3 linked regions of the Callithrix jacchus genome follow. The protein of the gene in region 1 purifies or fractionates together with the protein of each later gene. This does not show direct contact. Links are inferred from orthologs where the notes say so. Each region holds a gene or a part of one and is shown in the gene's direction. Other genes may lie near its edges.

The links.
Region 2: the proteins of SS18 (region 1) and ARID1A purify together in Homo sapiens (affinity purification with mass spectrometry; 7 studies listed by BioGRID and IntAct, counting the BioPlex papers as one, with this or other methods). This does not show direct contact. The link is inferred for Callithrix jacchus from reciprocal best matches to the Homo sapiens genes SS18 and ARID1A.
Region 3: the proteins of SS18 (region 1) and SMARCC2 purify together in Homo sapiens (affinity purification with mass spectrometry; 3 studies listed by BioGRID and IntAct, counting the BioPlex papers as one, with this or other methods). This does not show direct contact. The link is inferred for Callithrix jacchus from reciprocal best matches to the Homo sapiens genes SS18 and SMARCC2.

What each region holds. Positions count from the first base shown.
Region 1 is NC_133514.1:69,287,121-69,291,848, reverse strand, and holds part of SS18 (protein SSXT), read left to right. Parts: intron 1-2,568; coding exon 2,569-2,790; intron 2,791-4,728. UniProt on the Homo sapiens protein: Appears to function synergistically with RBM14 as a transcriptional coactivator. Isoform 1 and isoform 2 function in nuclear receptor coactivation. Isoform 1 and isoform 2 function in general transcriptional coactivation.
Region 2 is NC_133508.1:63,351,078-63,356,323, forward strand, and holds the start of ARID1A (AT-rich interactive domain-containing protein 1A), read left to right. Parts: upstream 1-1,880; 5' UTR 1,881-2,254; coding exon 2,255-3,406; intron 3,407-4,246; exon of another isoform or gene 4,247-5,246. UniProt on the Homo sapiens protein: Involved in transcriptional activation and repression of select genes by chromatin remodeling (alteration of DNA-nucleosome topology).
Region 3 is NC_133510.1:63,498,955-63,502,948, forward strand, and holds part of SMARCC2 (SWI/SNF complex subunit SMARCC2), read left to right. Parts: intron 1-1,431; exon of another isoform or gene 1,432-2,402; coding exon 2,403-2,784; exon of another isoform or gene 2,785-3,057; coding exon 3,058-3,486; exon of another isoform or gene 3,487-3,863; intron 3,864-3,994. UniProt on the Homo sapiens protein: Involved in transcriptional activation and repression of select genes by chromatin remodeling (alteration of DNA-nucleosome topology).

The sequences.
Region 1 (4,728 bases):
CATCAAAGGGTATCAAAGGATACCTAGCTGCCACTTCTCCAGACAGTTCCAGAGAGGCATTGGTTTCTAGTTGTCCTTCAAGAAATAATTCTCTTGCCAGGCACGGTGGTTCTTGCCTGCAGGATCCCAGCACTTTGGAAGACTGAGGCGGGTGGATCACTTGAGGTCAGGAGTTTGAAACCAGCCTGACCAACATGGTAAAACCCCATCTCTACTAAAAATACAAAATTAGCTGGGTGTGGTGATGCACACTGGGATTCTAGCTACTTGGGAGGCTGAGGCAGGAGAATTGCTTGAACCCGGGAGGTGTAGGTCACAGTAAACCGGGATCATGCCTTTGCACTCCAGCCTGGGCAGCAAGAGCGAAACTCTGTCTCAAAAAAGATATATTTTCTCTTTGTAAAATAATCCATGTATATTACCTTTTTCTTTTTTTTTTTTTTTTGCTCATCAGCCCCTTGATACTACATTTCTATTACCTTTTTTCCCCCCTTATTCTTTAAAAAAAATACAAAGGATAGCACTCATTAAATAGTATTATGTGTCTTCTTTCTCTCTTAAAGATCTGTCTTGGATACCATTATTTTATTCTGTATGTAAATAGATACCTTATTCTTTTTGGTCTCTGTGTCACGTTCTGTTTTACAACTTTATTTGAACATTTATGGTGGAAATATAGGCTTCTAGTCTTTTGTTATTGTGAATTATACTGCCATGAATTTGCCTGTAAAAATATATATATGTGCATATATATATATTTTGTGTGTGTCAGTATACACGCACACAAAAACTTGTATATCTATAGCATAAATTTCTGGAACTGTAATTGCTGGGTTAAAGGTATATGTATTTTTTAGATTTGATAGTTAGTGACAAATTGCTTTGTATAAAAATAGTAATATCCATCACTTCTGCATTTATGAATTTCGCATCCATGGATTGAAAATATTTGGAAAAACAAAACTGTACTGAACATGTACATACTTTTTTTGGTCATAATTCCTTAGTACAGTGTAACAACTATTTACATAGCATTTATATTATGTTAGGTAGTACATACAATGTAGGGATTTAAAGTAAATGAGAGGATGTACATAAGTTATATGGAAATACTGTTACCATTTTATGTCAGGGACATGAGCATTTATGGATCTTGGAATCTGTAGATGGTTCTGGAACCAGCCTCCTACAGATATTGAGGGACAACTACTTCCTTTGAATTGTTGTTTGTCTCTCTTAAGCTTGATCCCACCCTTGATTTCATAAGCTTGATTCCCCACGGAATATAAGTAAGATTTATATTCCTTTAACAATGGACAAAAGTGCTTCTTTCTTCATAATACAGTTAGATTAAACTTGATTTTTGAGAATCTGAAAGGTGAACGCTGGGTCTCATAGTTTTAATTTGCCTTCTTATTTTAAGTGAAGCAATCAATCTTTTAGTATTGATGAACCTTTTTGTAGTTTTTCTGTGAACTAGTCATTCCCTCATTATGTCCTTTGCCCATTGTTTTACTGGTGGTGGTGTTTTACTTACTTCATATGTTAAGTAATTAATTTGGTCTGTGATATGTCTTATAAATAATATTTTCTTACTTACCTTTTTATTATTTTTGAGTTTCGTGTCATGTGCAAATTTTTAAACTTTATATAGTGTAATTTTTCAGTGTTTTATAGCTCTGGGTTTTCTGGCCTGCTTAAGAAGGTCCCTCCATTATTATTTTAAAAATTCTCCTTTTTGAAATTCTTTTATGGATTAAGTTTTCTGTTCATCTAGAATTAGTTAGTGGAAGAAGTAAGGCAGTGATCCAACTTGTTTTTTTTTTCCAAATGGCTCCCAAGTTGTCACAACACCATTTACTGAATTAGTTTTCTATTGCTCACTGATACTTATTAGTTACTCAGCCATGTATTTGGGTCTGTTTTTAGACTCTGTTCTAGTCATTCAGTCTGTTAATCTATTCATTATGTTCACAGGTTTTTTTTTTTTCAGACAGAGTCTTGCTTGTTGCCCAGGCTGAAGTGCAGTGGCGCGATCTTGGCTCACTGCAACCTCCGCCTCCCAGGTTCAAGTGATTCTCCTGCCTCAGCCTCCCAAATAGCTGGGATTATAGGCACCCGCCACCACACCTGGCTAACTTTTGTATTTTTAGTAGAGATGGGGTTTCACCATCTTGGCCAGGCTGGTCTTGAACTCATGGCCTTGTGATCCACTTGCCTTAGCCTCCAAAGTGCTGGGATTCCAGGCGTGAGCCACTGCGCCCCGCCTGTGTTCACAGTTAATTACTCCAACCTTATGATATGTTTTGCTGTATTTTAAAGAAGCTAGTCCTCCCTTCATTTTCAGAGTGTTCATGACGTTTCAAAAACATTCGTTTATTAATCTGTAAAATGGGAATACTCTCAGTATTTACTGTCATTCCTATAAACCATTTACTTTGCTACTGATTAACTCTTGTTTGGTATTACTATAATAATGCAAAAAAAAAAAAAATACCCTTTCCAGGTACTTTGTATGGACCATCTATTTAATTTTCATATTTTGCTTCTGATCATTTTTCTTCAAAGGGCCTAACCATATGCCTATGCAGGGACCTGGACCCAATCAACTCAATATGACAAACAGTTCCATGAATATGCCTTCAAGTAGCCATGGATCCATGGGAGGTTACAACCATTCCGTGTCATCATCACAGAGCATGCCAGTACAGAATCAGATGACAATGAGTCAAGGGCAACCAATGGGGAACTATGGTCCCAGACCAAATATGAATATGCAGCCAAACCAAGGTAACTAAGCTTTATGTCCTTCTTGACTAGAGTACTATATTGGCCTTTGAAAGTAAAATGATTATCAGGTTCTTAGCTGATTCATAAAAGTATAAGTTTAAAATGAGGGACAGCCATGCCCAGAAAAATGGAATGTTGAGTTTGAAACTAGTTTAAATCTTTTTTTATATGTATGAATTAAATTGCTCAATTTAGCTTTTTAAGCTTATTTATTTTTATGTCTTTTGAACAGTTTATTTGAGGTTCTGTGTTGTTGAGAATTGTTTTTTAAAGCTGATCAGTGAAGAACCAAACATTTGGTTTAGAGCTAGAAAGTTGAGAAAATAAATACCTGCCTTACAGTTTAAATGATGTATTAATTTATATGAACTTCCCTTGATTTATATGGATGTTTTCTGATGCTATGTTTTAGCATTAAAAGGTAATTCTAAAATAATTTGCTATTAGAATGTTCAGTGGGGTGCTGCTGTACTACTCTTAGAATGGCATAAGTCCATTAAAGTTTATTACCAATCTCAGAATGAAATTGTGCTATGTTTCTAAGTATTCTGTGAATAATAACTAAAAGCCAGTAAGTGGCACTCTGTTCTGTAAATTGTCTGTTAAAACATTTGGCATATTTCCAGCTTAACGTTATTTTAGTTACAAAATATGGTAATTCTGTCTTACGGTTAAGACTGTAAGATAGAGTTAAATGTATTTGGAATAAAATTTTCTAGATTTTGATTATTAAAAAGCACTAAAATGTACCCAGATAAAAGAATTTAATGTTAATTTGTTGATAATTCCTTATGATGAAGTCATAGAATTTAAAAATATACAGATTTTAAAAATAATTTCAGTGAGATATACTGAAAACAAAAGGAGATAATAGAAAAAGTTGTCAACATTGTAGCTTCACAAATGGCACTTGTAACATTTTTTACCCCCAAAGTTACTTAATGCCTATGGTGGAATTATTTTTTTGTTTTTATTAGGTCAATTAAGAGTCCATACAACAGCAAGATCCAGTCAGTGCTAGATCAAAAGGGAGTTAAGGTGTTTCTCTATACAGTTTGGTTACCAGGAGAGAGAACAGGAAAATTCATGATTCTGGCAGCAACTCCAGTAATGATGGCACACTTCTTAGAAACTTGTGGTTAAGAAAAGGTATGGTGTGCACAAAAAAAAAAAAAATGAGTGTTGCTGGAGCAGGGTTTGACATGACATATTAAGATTTGAAGAAGAAAAAAAGCTAATGCATGCAGCAGTGTTGTATATTGACTTTTTGGAGAAAAGTACTGAGGCGTTTATAGAAATTTTTTGTTCTTAGGGACCAACTTTAACTTATAAAAATGTCATATTTTGTAAGAATGTGTAGCTCTTCCTTTTACTGTAGTACATTAGTTATATCACTTTTTTGCCTTGTTCTCGTCGTTTATAAATTTCTTGTTTTTTATTTTTATTTTTTGTATTTTGTTGAAAGAATAGAAACAATGTCTCCATCTGTTGCCCAGGCTGGTCTTGAATGCCTGCTTAAGTGATCACCTGCCTTGTCCTCCCAGTGTCCTGGGATTAGAGGCGTGAGCCATTGCACCTGGTCAGTTTATGAATTTCATAATAGAAAATAGACTATACAAAAATGACCAGGTATTAAATCTGAAGAAATAAAAGACAATTTTCAAAAAGAAAATATGGTGTAAATCATTGAGGAAATTTTCATTGTTTTAAAAAATCTCTTTAGGACAAATAAAAATCTTCATCAAAATTTTGGTATTTCAGAGTCAAAAGAACACAAAAGTAGAGTACAGTTTCCAAAAAAGAAAGTTATACTGTGTTCTGGCAGCTTGTACTTTTTTAATCATATGAATTTCTTCTTAAAAGCATTTTAATTATATGTTATCTTTGAGTAAATACATTATCCATGATGAGTTTTATTAATGAAGTTTTTTTTTTACT
Region 2 (5,246 bases), on another chromosome or scaffold:
TATCTCACCACTCTTAGACTAACAGGAAGGTTCTGCCTTTTTGGTGTAGGATGCACTGTTTCTTGAGGGGAGAAATGACTTCAGGCTTTGGAATTATTCGTAGTGACCAGGGACATGGCCAGCACTCTGGGGTCCTGCATAATCTATTCTAAGGCAATGGTTCTGTGGCAGTGAAGTCTCCCTTTACAAATCTGAGGGGGGAAAAGAGATCCTGGTGTCTAGGAACACAGGCCTGGGCCTTTCCCAATGCAGGGGAGCTGGACTCCCCTCTAGCTTTCGTAGCCTGTCAAGTCAGAACATTCCAAGTCAGCCTGAGGAAGAAAAGGCTGCTCCTGGGATTTGGTGGGGACTGTAGATCAGGACAACACTGGAGCTTTCTGTGTATGCCTTGGTCTGTTCAGATAAACCTGGCCTTATACCCAACTCAATCGGGGTCTCTTAGAATGTAATGGTAAACTTTAAACTATCTTTACACTACAGGATAGAAAACAAATCTGAGAAGCATGCATTTTCTAAGTGACTTGTTGGACTGTGCCTGTTCTTTAAGGAGAAAATGGTTTCCATTTTGTGCATCTCTCTTCTGATAATTGTTTGAACACTCAGGTTCCTGCAGTCCCTGGAGCCTCTTCTGTGGCTTTTCAGTCTTACAAGGTACTGTCTTTGGAGACTAGGGCTACTGGTCATTGTGGGCTAAGTTATCTTAAGAGAGTGAGAACAGGGTTTGGGTTCTCCTGCTGGATGACTGTTCTGTGCCCCTAAAACAGCTTCAGTGGCCTCCATTTTAAGTCAGAGGTGAGATGATCAGTTTTGACTTCAAATCCATTTTGATATTCTGGTATCATTGTTGAATGTGCTCACAATTTTTTTTAAGGCAAGTAGACCGAAGGCAGCTTTGGTAACTCCACTTCTTTTAAAGTCACCCTCCTCTACCCTCTGACTTTAAGTGACAGGGAGTTCCCTCCCCTCTCTTTCAATTCTGTGAAATGGGGATAATCCGAACCTCAAGCCCCCAGAGCCTTGTGAGGACCGGCGAATGAGGGCAGGCGAGTGGGAAACGAATCATCCAAACAATGATCAGTCATTCCTTTGGGCTTGCAAAAGGGGTAAGAATCAGGGCTCACTCAGCTGGGTCTTTAGCGGGGTCAGTAGAAGGCTTTGAAAAGTGCTGTAGAGGTGCTAAGCAGCAGCCAACGGAACGGGCCGGTTGCCAGGGGGTCAGGGCTGGGCCGAGGCGGTCGCGGTCTCGGGCTCTGGCCAATTTTGCAGCCGCGGGTAAAGTTCACGCTGCCCGCTCCCTTCGGTACGGCCGGCAGGGGACAGATCAGGATAGGGACGCCGGGAGGGAGGCGACGCAGGCTCCAGAGGCGCGGGCTCCGGGCCGGGTTTTCTCCGAAGCCTTCGGCGGCGGCGCTGCCTAGCGAAAGCGGCTGAGGGCCTGCCGCCGCCGCTGCTCGTTCTCTCCCCTCCTCCTTTGTGAGGGGAAGGGAGCGAGTCCGTTCCACGGCCTGCGCCGGCTCCGCTCTCCACTCCGGGTTTGCCAGGCGGCCGCGACGGCGCTGGGTAAAATGGCAGTGCTGAGCCTCGTGTCGGAGTGAGGGGGACTCGGAGGAGAGTGGGGCGCTCTAGCCGCTGAGTCCGGCCGACCGCTTGCTCGCTAGCCCGCTGCCGCGCAGCAGCCTCGGCTCGAGCTGCGGCTGGCGAGGGGAGGCTGGGCGCCCGGCCCGGCGCGCGTTCCGACTCTGGCACTCGGCACCCCGGCTGCTGCCGCGCGCCCTCCAGCCCGCCCGTCCCGGGTCCCCCTCCCCCCGCTCCCTCCCTCCGTCCCTCCCCGCCCCCTCCCCCCTCGCCTCCCTCCCTCCCTCCCTCCTCCTTTCTCCGGCAGCAGAAAGCGGAGAGTCACAGCGGGGCCAGGCCCTGGGGAGCGGAGCCTCCACCGCCCCCCTCATTCCCAGGCAAGGGCTTGGGGGGAATGAGCCAGGAGAGCCGGGTCCCGAGCCTACAGAGCCGGGAGCAGCTGAGCCGCCGGCGCCTCGGCCGCCGCCGCCTCCTCCTCCTCCGCCGCCGCCAGCCCGGAGCCTGAGCCGGCGGGGCGGGGGGGAGAGGAGCGAGCGCAGCGCAGCAGCGGAGCCCCGCGAGGCCCGCCCGGGCGGGTGGGGAGGGCAGCCCGGGGGACTCGGCCCCGGGGCGGGGTGGGAGGGGGGGGGAGAAGACGAAGACAGGGCCGGGTCTCTCCGCGGACGAGACAGCGGGGATCATGGCCGCGCAGGTCGCCCCCGCCGCCGCCAGCAGCCTGGGCAACCCGCCGCCGCCGCCGCCGCCGCCGCCCTCGGAGCTGAAGAAAGCCGACCAGCAGCAGCGGGAGGAGGCGGGGGGCGAGGCGGCGGCGGCGGCAGCGGCCGAGCGCGGGGAAATGAAGGCAGCCGCCGGGCAGGAAAGCGAGGGTCCCGCCGTGGGGCCTCCGCAGCCGCTGGGAAAGGAGCTGCAGGACGGGGCCGAGAGCAATGGGGGTGGCGGCAGCGGCGGAGCCGGCAGCGGCGGCGGGCCCGGCGCGGAGCCGGACCTGAAGAACTCAAACGGGAACGCGGGCCCTAGGCCCGCCCTGAACAATAACCTCACGGAGCCGCCCGGCGGCGGCGGTGGCGGCAGCAGCGATGGGGTGGGGGCGCCTCCTCACTCAGCCGCGGCCGCCTTGCCGCCCCCAGCCTACGGCTTCGGGCAACCCTACGGCCGGAGCCCGTCTGCCGTCGCCGCCGCCGCGGCCGCCGTCTTCCACCAACAACATGGCGGACAACAAAGCCCTGGCCTGGCAGCGCTGCAGAGCGGCGGCGGCGGGGGCCTGGAGCCCTACGCGGGGCCCCAGCAGAACTCGCACGACCACGGCTTCCCCAACCACCAGTACAACTCCTACTACCCCAACCGCAGCGCCTACCCCCCGCCCGCCCCGGCCTACGCGCTGAGCTCCCCGAGAGGTGGCACTCCGGGCTCCGGCGCGGCGGCGGCGGCTGCCGGCTCCAAGCCGCCTCCCTCCTCCAGCGCCTCCGCCTCCTCGTCGTCTTCGTCCTTCGCTCAGCAGCGCTTCGGGGCCATGGGGGGAGGCGGCCCCTCCGCGGCCGGCGGGGGAACCCCTCAGCCCACCGCCACCCCCACCCTCAACCAACTGCTCACGTCGCCCAGCTCTGCCCGGGGCTACCAGGGCTACCCCGGGGCCGACTACGGCGGCGGGCCCCAGGACGGGGGCGCTGGCAAGGGCCCGGCGGACATGGCCTCGCAGTGTTGGGGGGCTGCGGCGGCGGCAGCGGCGGCGGCGGCAGCCGCTTCGGGAGGGGCCCAACAAAGGAGCCACCACGCGCCCATGAGCCCCGGGAGCAGTGGCGGCGGGGGGCAGCCGCTCGCCCGGACCCCTCAGGTACACAGCTGAGTGGGGAGGGGGCTGGGGCGAACGTGGTCCTGGGGGTGGGTGGTGGCTGCGGTGAGCGGGCCACAGCCTTGGGCTCCCCTCAGTCCCGGGCCCCCACTGCTGGGGAGCTGCCATTGTCTGGCTCTTCTTTCTTAAAATGGCTGCCTGTCTGCCTTCCTCTCCTTCCCTCCTTTAGGCTTTGTGTCGGGCTTTCCTAGAAATGTCTGCTCCTCTTTTTCCTTTCCCCTGGTTCCTTTGAACTCCAGGGGTCGTCATGGGGATGCGGGGCAGAGTGTGCGGGGAAGGGCCTGGCCGGGGGTGAGGGGGTGCTGGGGGCTCAGGTAAGAAGTGTAGGCAGTGGTAGGAGCCCAGGAGTTGAGTGAACGTTTTTCTTTGCTCACCTGCCGCTCCTCTCCGTCTCCCGGCCTTCCTCTGGGCCGCCCCCCGCCTCCGTGCTTTCAAGGAGGGCCCCTAGACCTCGGGGGGACCTCGAGGGAGGGCAGGGGACTGCTTGGGAGCTGCTAGAGGCCGGCTGCGGTTCACCTAGGGCAGCCCGGGCCATCTCCTGTCTTAGGCTCCGCCGGCCCAGTGGCCTGGGCTTCTCCCTGGAAGTGCTGGTAAACAGCTGAGTGATTGGAGTAGTAAGTGCAGATTGCTTTGGTTTGGGATTTGAATTATGGAGGTAAAATCCTTCTGTCAAAGCCAGGAGACAGTTGGTCTTAGGTTGACATCCTATCTGTGATCTGATTGGCTCCCCATCTCCTGCTCTTGGCCATTTATAATTGCCTCTGATGTAATGGTACAACAATCCTGATGAGCTCATAAACTTTTACACTCTGCTTTTCTGCCAGTGATAACCCAAACCATTGCTGTCACTATCTGCCTTTTATTCCAGAGTTGAAATTGGCTGTGACCTTGAGGAGGGAGGTTTAAGTAGCAATACTGTATCAGCAGGAGCAGAGTCTCAGACAGCCTGTCCTTGTTACATTGTGCCCGAAACAAAAGAGGAGGCAATGGCATTTTGCATATACCTTGGATTTATTTTGCTTGTTATGTTTTATGCAGCCTGAAATGGATTCTGTGTTGTCAGAACAGTAGCTGAGTTTTTTCTCTACAATGGGTTTGCTGTTTGTTTTGGTTTTGTGACTTTCCTGATGGTATAAATGACTTCTTTGATGGCTCTGAAGATGCATTTGTCTTGAGTAATTTTGACACTGTTTGCTTTGCAGAATTGAAATGATTTTACTGGGTTTTTTATTGAGTGGGAAATGTGGAATCTTTATGGGGGGGGAGAAAATGTGTGTGTGTGTGTGTGTGTGTGTGTGTGTGTGTTTAGAACTGGGAGCTTTCTGAGGAATTTCATATTAGGTTCAAGCCTTCCGTTTTAAGGAAGGCTAGCCTCATTCTTTGTTTACATGTTGAATCTTGTTAACACTTTCTTTTGTTAATTGAACTTTGGGATGGTGGTTTAATTTAAAGGGAAGCTGGTGTCTTTCATGATCTTGAGGGACTTTCTCCTAAAGGCTTGGTTTGGTGAAATTGTGTTTTCCTGGAATAACAAAAAGGCTAGTTTACTGTTTTGTCATCAGTCATTTTAGAGCTTTGAAATAGAGATTGGCAGTTTATTCCTTTGCATTTTAATTTATGTTCCACTTTTCTTTTTGTCTTCCAAGATATAAAGATACGACCTAGAATGACACTTAAGATTTGCTTAGAAATTGCAACTTCTAGGTACCTTTTTATACTATTCTATCTTGTTTTATTTTACTGTTTTTCTGCCATCTTCATCATGCTCTGTCATCAGTGCTTTTGGTCAGGGATATTGAGTATTCTATAGAATCATATTTTT
Region 3 (3,994 bases), on another chromosome or scaffold:
ACTAAAAATACAAAAAATTATCTGGGCACGGTGACGCATGCCTGTAATCCCAGCTACTCAGGAGGCTGAGGCAGGAGAATTGCCTGAACCCAGGAGGTGGAGGTTGCAGTGAGCCAAGATCGTGCCATTGCACTCCAGCCTGGGTAACAAGAGTGAAACTCTACCTCAAAAAAAAAAAAAAAAAAAAAGAAAGAAAGAAATGATAGGGGCTGGGCACAGTGGCTCATATCTGTAATCCCAATACTTTGGTAGGCTGAGGTAGGAGGATTGCTTGAGCCCAGGAGTTCAAGATCAGTCTGGGCAACAAAGTGAGACCCTTGTCTCTACAATTTTTTTTTTTTTTTTGAGATGAAATTTCACTCTTGCTGCCCAGACTGGAATGCAATGGCACGGTCTTGGCTCACCACAACCTCTGCCTCCCAAGTTCAAGCAATTTTTCTACCTCAGCCTCCTGAGTAGCTGGGATCACGGACATGCACCTCCATGCCTGGCTAATTTTGTATTTTTAGTAGACGGGGTTTCTCCATGTTTGCCAGGCTGTTCTTGAACTCCTAGACTCAGGTGATTTGACTGCCTCTGGCTCCCAACGAGCTAGGATTTAAAATTTTTTTTTGAGACAGAGTCGCACTGTTTCACCCAGGCTGGAGTGCAGTGGTGCAATTATGGCTCACTGCAACCTCCACCTCCCAGGTTCAAGCGATTCTCCTGCTTCAGCCTCCCAGTAGCTGGGATTATAGGCGCCCACCACCATATCCAGCTAATTTTTGTTTGTTGGTTTGTTTTTTGAGACAGAGTCTCATTCTGTTGCCCACACTGGAGTGCAGCGGCACCATCTTGGCTCACTATAACCTCTGCCTCCTGGGTGGGATCAATTCTCTTGCCTCAGCCTCCTGAGTAGCTGAGATTACAGGTGTGCACCACCATGCTTGGCTAATTTTTGTATTTTTAGTAGAGACAGGGTTTCACCATGTTGGCCAGGCTGGTCTTTATCTCTTGACCTCAGGTGATCCACCTGCCTCAGCCTCCCAAAGTGCTGGGATTACAGGCATGAGCCACCACACCCAGTCCCCCCAAAAAACTTTTAAATTTTTTTTCTTTTTCTTTTTTTTTTAATTAAAGCCACCAGGAAGCTCACTGCAACACAGCATAGCTATTGTAGCCTGACTACCTCTCTAGATACCTCCTCTCTGGGCAGGCCATCTCTGAAACCAAAAAAATTTTTAAAGTAAACAAATTAGCTGGGCATGGTGGTGAGAGCCTGTGGTCCCAGCTACTCAGGAGGCTGAGATGAGAGGATCGTTTGAGCCCAGGAGGTCAAGGCTGCAGTGAGCCATGTTTGCACCATTGCACTCCAGCCTGGGTGACAGAGTGAGACCCTACCTCAAAAAAAAAAAAAAAAAGAAGAAGAAAACAAAACAGAAGATAGGGACCTCAGAGAACTTATAGTTTAATTGGAGACATCAAATGAATAAACAATATGGAGACATTAGAAACAGTTAAGAAGGTTTAAAGTATCTGCCAAATTCATATTAAGAGATTGCAGATCAAGTATCTAAGTCCTGAGATAATAGAATCAAGCTAAAGCTCAGAGGCGAGCGAATTGTTCTGGGATAGCTTCCTAAGAAAAGTGAGTTTTGGCCGGGTGTGGTGGCTCATGCCTGTAATCCAAGCACTCTGGAGGCCAAGGCGGGTGGATCACCTGAGGTCAGGAGTTCAAGACCAGCCTGACCAACATGGTGAAACCCCGTCTTAAAAACAAATGAAAAAAGGCCGGGCGCAGTGGCTCACCCCTGTAATCCCAGCACTTTGGGAGGCCAAGGCGGGTGGATCACAAGGTCAAGAGATCGAGACCATCCTGGTCAACATGGTGAAACCCCGTCTCTACTAAAAATACAAAAAAAATTAGCTGGGCATGATGGCATGTGCCTGTAATCCCAGCTACTCAGGAGGCTGAGGCAGGAGAATTGCCTGAACCCAGGAGGCAGAGGTTGCGGTGAGCCGAGATCGCGCCATTGCACTCCAGCCTGGGTAACAAAAGCAAAACTCCGTCTCAAAATAGTGAGTTTTTAGTGAATTTTGAAGAAAAGAACTTGAATTGATAAGAAGAACTGGAAGCATTTTCCAAATCAAGGCAATGGCAAGTTCAAAGCTTTGGAGCTGAAGTCAGCTAGGCCAGATAAAGTCAATAAGAAACCATGTGAGCACCCAGGAGACATAAAGGTCATGGGAATTTGCACGAAGTACAGTGGGGAGGGCAGAGGAAGTACAAGTGTAAGATGTAGATTTGGGGAACCTTCTGATTGAGAGGTGGGATCTTTCAGAAGACAACAAAGCAGGGTTCAAGGCATTTGCCTTTGGGCTCTGTTGAAAATTGGATAACAATACTCAATTGGCACTGGCAGCTGGAGTATCAGAGGCAGCAGCTCCTGGCCGACAGACAAGCCTTCCACATGGAGCAGCTGAAGTATGCGGAGATGAGGGCCCGGCAGCAGCACTTCCAACAGATGCATCAACAGCAGCAGCAGCCACCGCCAGCCCTACCCCCAGGCTCCCAGCCTATCCCCCCAACGGGGGCTGCTGGGCCACCCGCAGTCCATGGCTTGGCTGTGGCTCCAGCCTCTGTAGTCCCTGCTCCTGCTGGCAGTGGGGCCCCTCCAGGAAGCTTGGGCCCTTCTGAACAGATTGGGCAGGCAGGGTCAATTGCAGGGCCACAGCAGCAGCAACCAGCTGGAGCCCCCCAGCCTGGGGCAGTCCCACCAGGGGTTCCCCCCCCTGGACCCCATGGTAAGTGTTGTGTTCCAGAACTTTTGCTGGTTAGAGGGATCCAGGTGAATGTCCCAGTTCCCCTCAAAGTGAATACAAGATGCGTTTGTTAGGCCTCTAAACCAGCAGGGATCCCCCCCCAAACTCGAGAGCTCTGGAATTTTATTCACTTACTCTAATGTCAGTAAAAGGGAAGATAATGCCAAGGAATGGCTAGATTATCCTTGCTGTAAAAGTGAGTTGTTAAGCAAAATTTTATACCTAACTCTCTCCATCTCTCATCTTTGTTCTCAGGCCCCTCACCGTTCCCCAACCAACAAACTCCTCCCTCAATGATGCCAGGGGCAGTGCCAGGCAGCGGGCACCCAGGCGTGGCGGGTAATGCTCCTTTGGGTTTGCCTTTTGGCATGCCGCCTCCTCCTCCTCCTCCTGCTCCATCCATCATCCCATTTGGTAGTCTAGCTGACTCCATCAGTATTAACCTTCCCCCTCCTCCTAACCTGCATGGGCATCACCACCATCTCCCGTTCGCCCCGGGCACTCTCCCCCCACCTAACCTGCCTGTGTCCATGGCGAACCCTCTACATCCTAACCTGCCGGCGACCACCACCATGCCATCTTCCTTGCCTCTCGGGCCGGGGCTCGGATCCGCCGCAGCCCAAAGCCCTGCCATTGTGGCAGCTGTTCAGGGCAACCTCCTGCCCAGTGCCAGCCCACTGCCAGGTGAGAAGGGGCCAGGAGGGGAGAAGGGTGAGGGAGCGGGATCCACATGGAGGGAGGGCGAGTGGGCAGGTGGGAAAGAGGTCAGGTAGTAGAGTTTCCACACTCTGGAAAAATTAGAATATAGGAGGAAGGGCCTCTCTGGCTGTCCTCCACCATTCCCCAGCCTGGCACCTGCCACCTTTGGGGTGATTTTGGGGCCTTTCACTGGTGGGTCATGGAGCAATCCTGTGGCACAGAGCATCTCAGTTGTAAACTTGAAAGGCAGCTGTTTGCATGATGATTGATGGACATCCCTTCGCTTGTTCCCATCACGTTCAAATGCCCCATTTAGAGTCTCCCTTCTATCAGTTTTTCTCAGTATGAAGTGGAAGAGGGTGCTGGGAACAGAAGGAACATTGTGGGTACCTCATTCATCTACCCAGCCATTGCATGCTATACCCAGTTCTGTCTGTCTGTGGTGGTCTGGGTCTAGAGCCCTCTCTCCTGCACACTCTAACTGATTCATGTT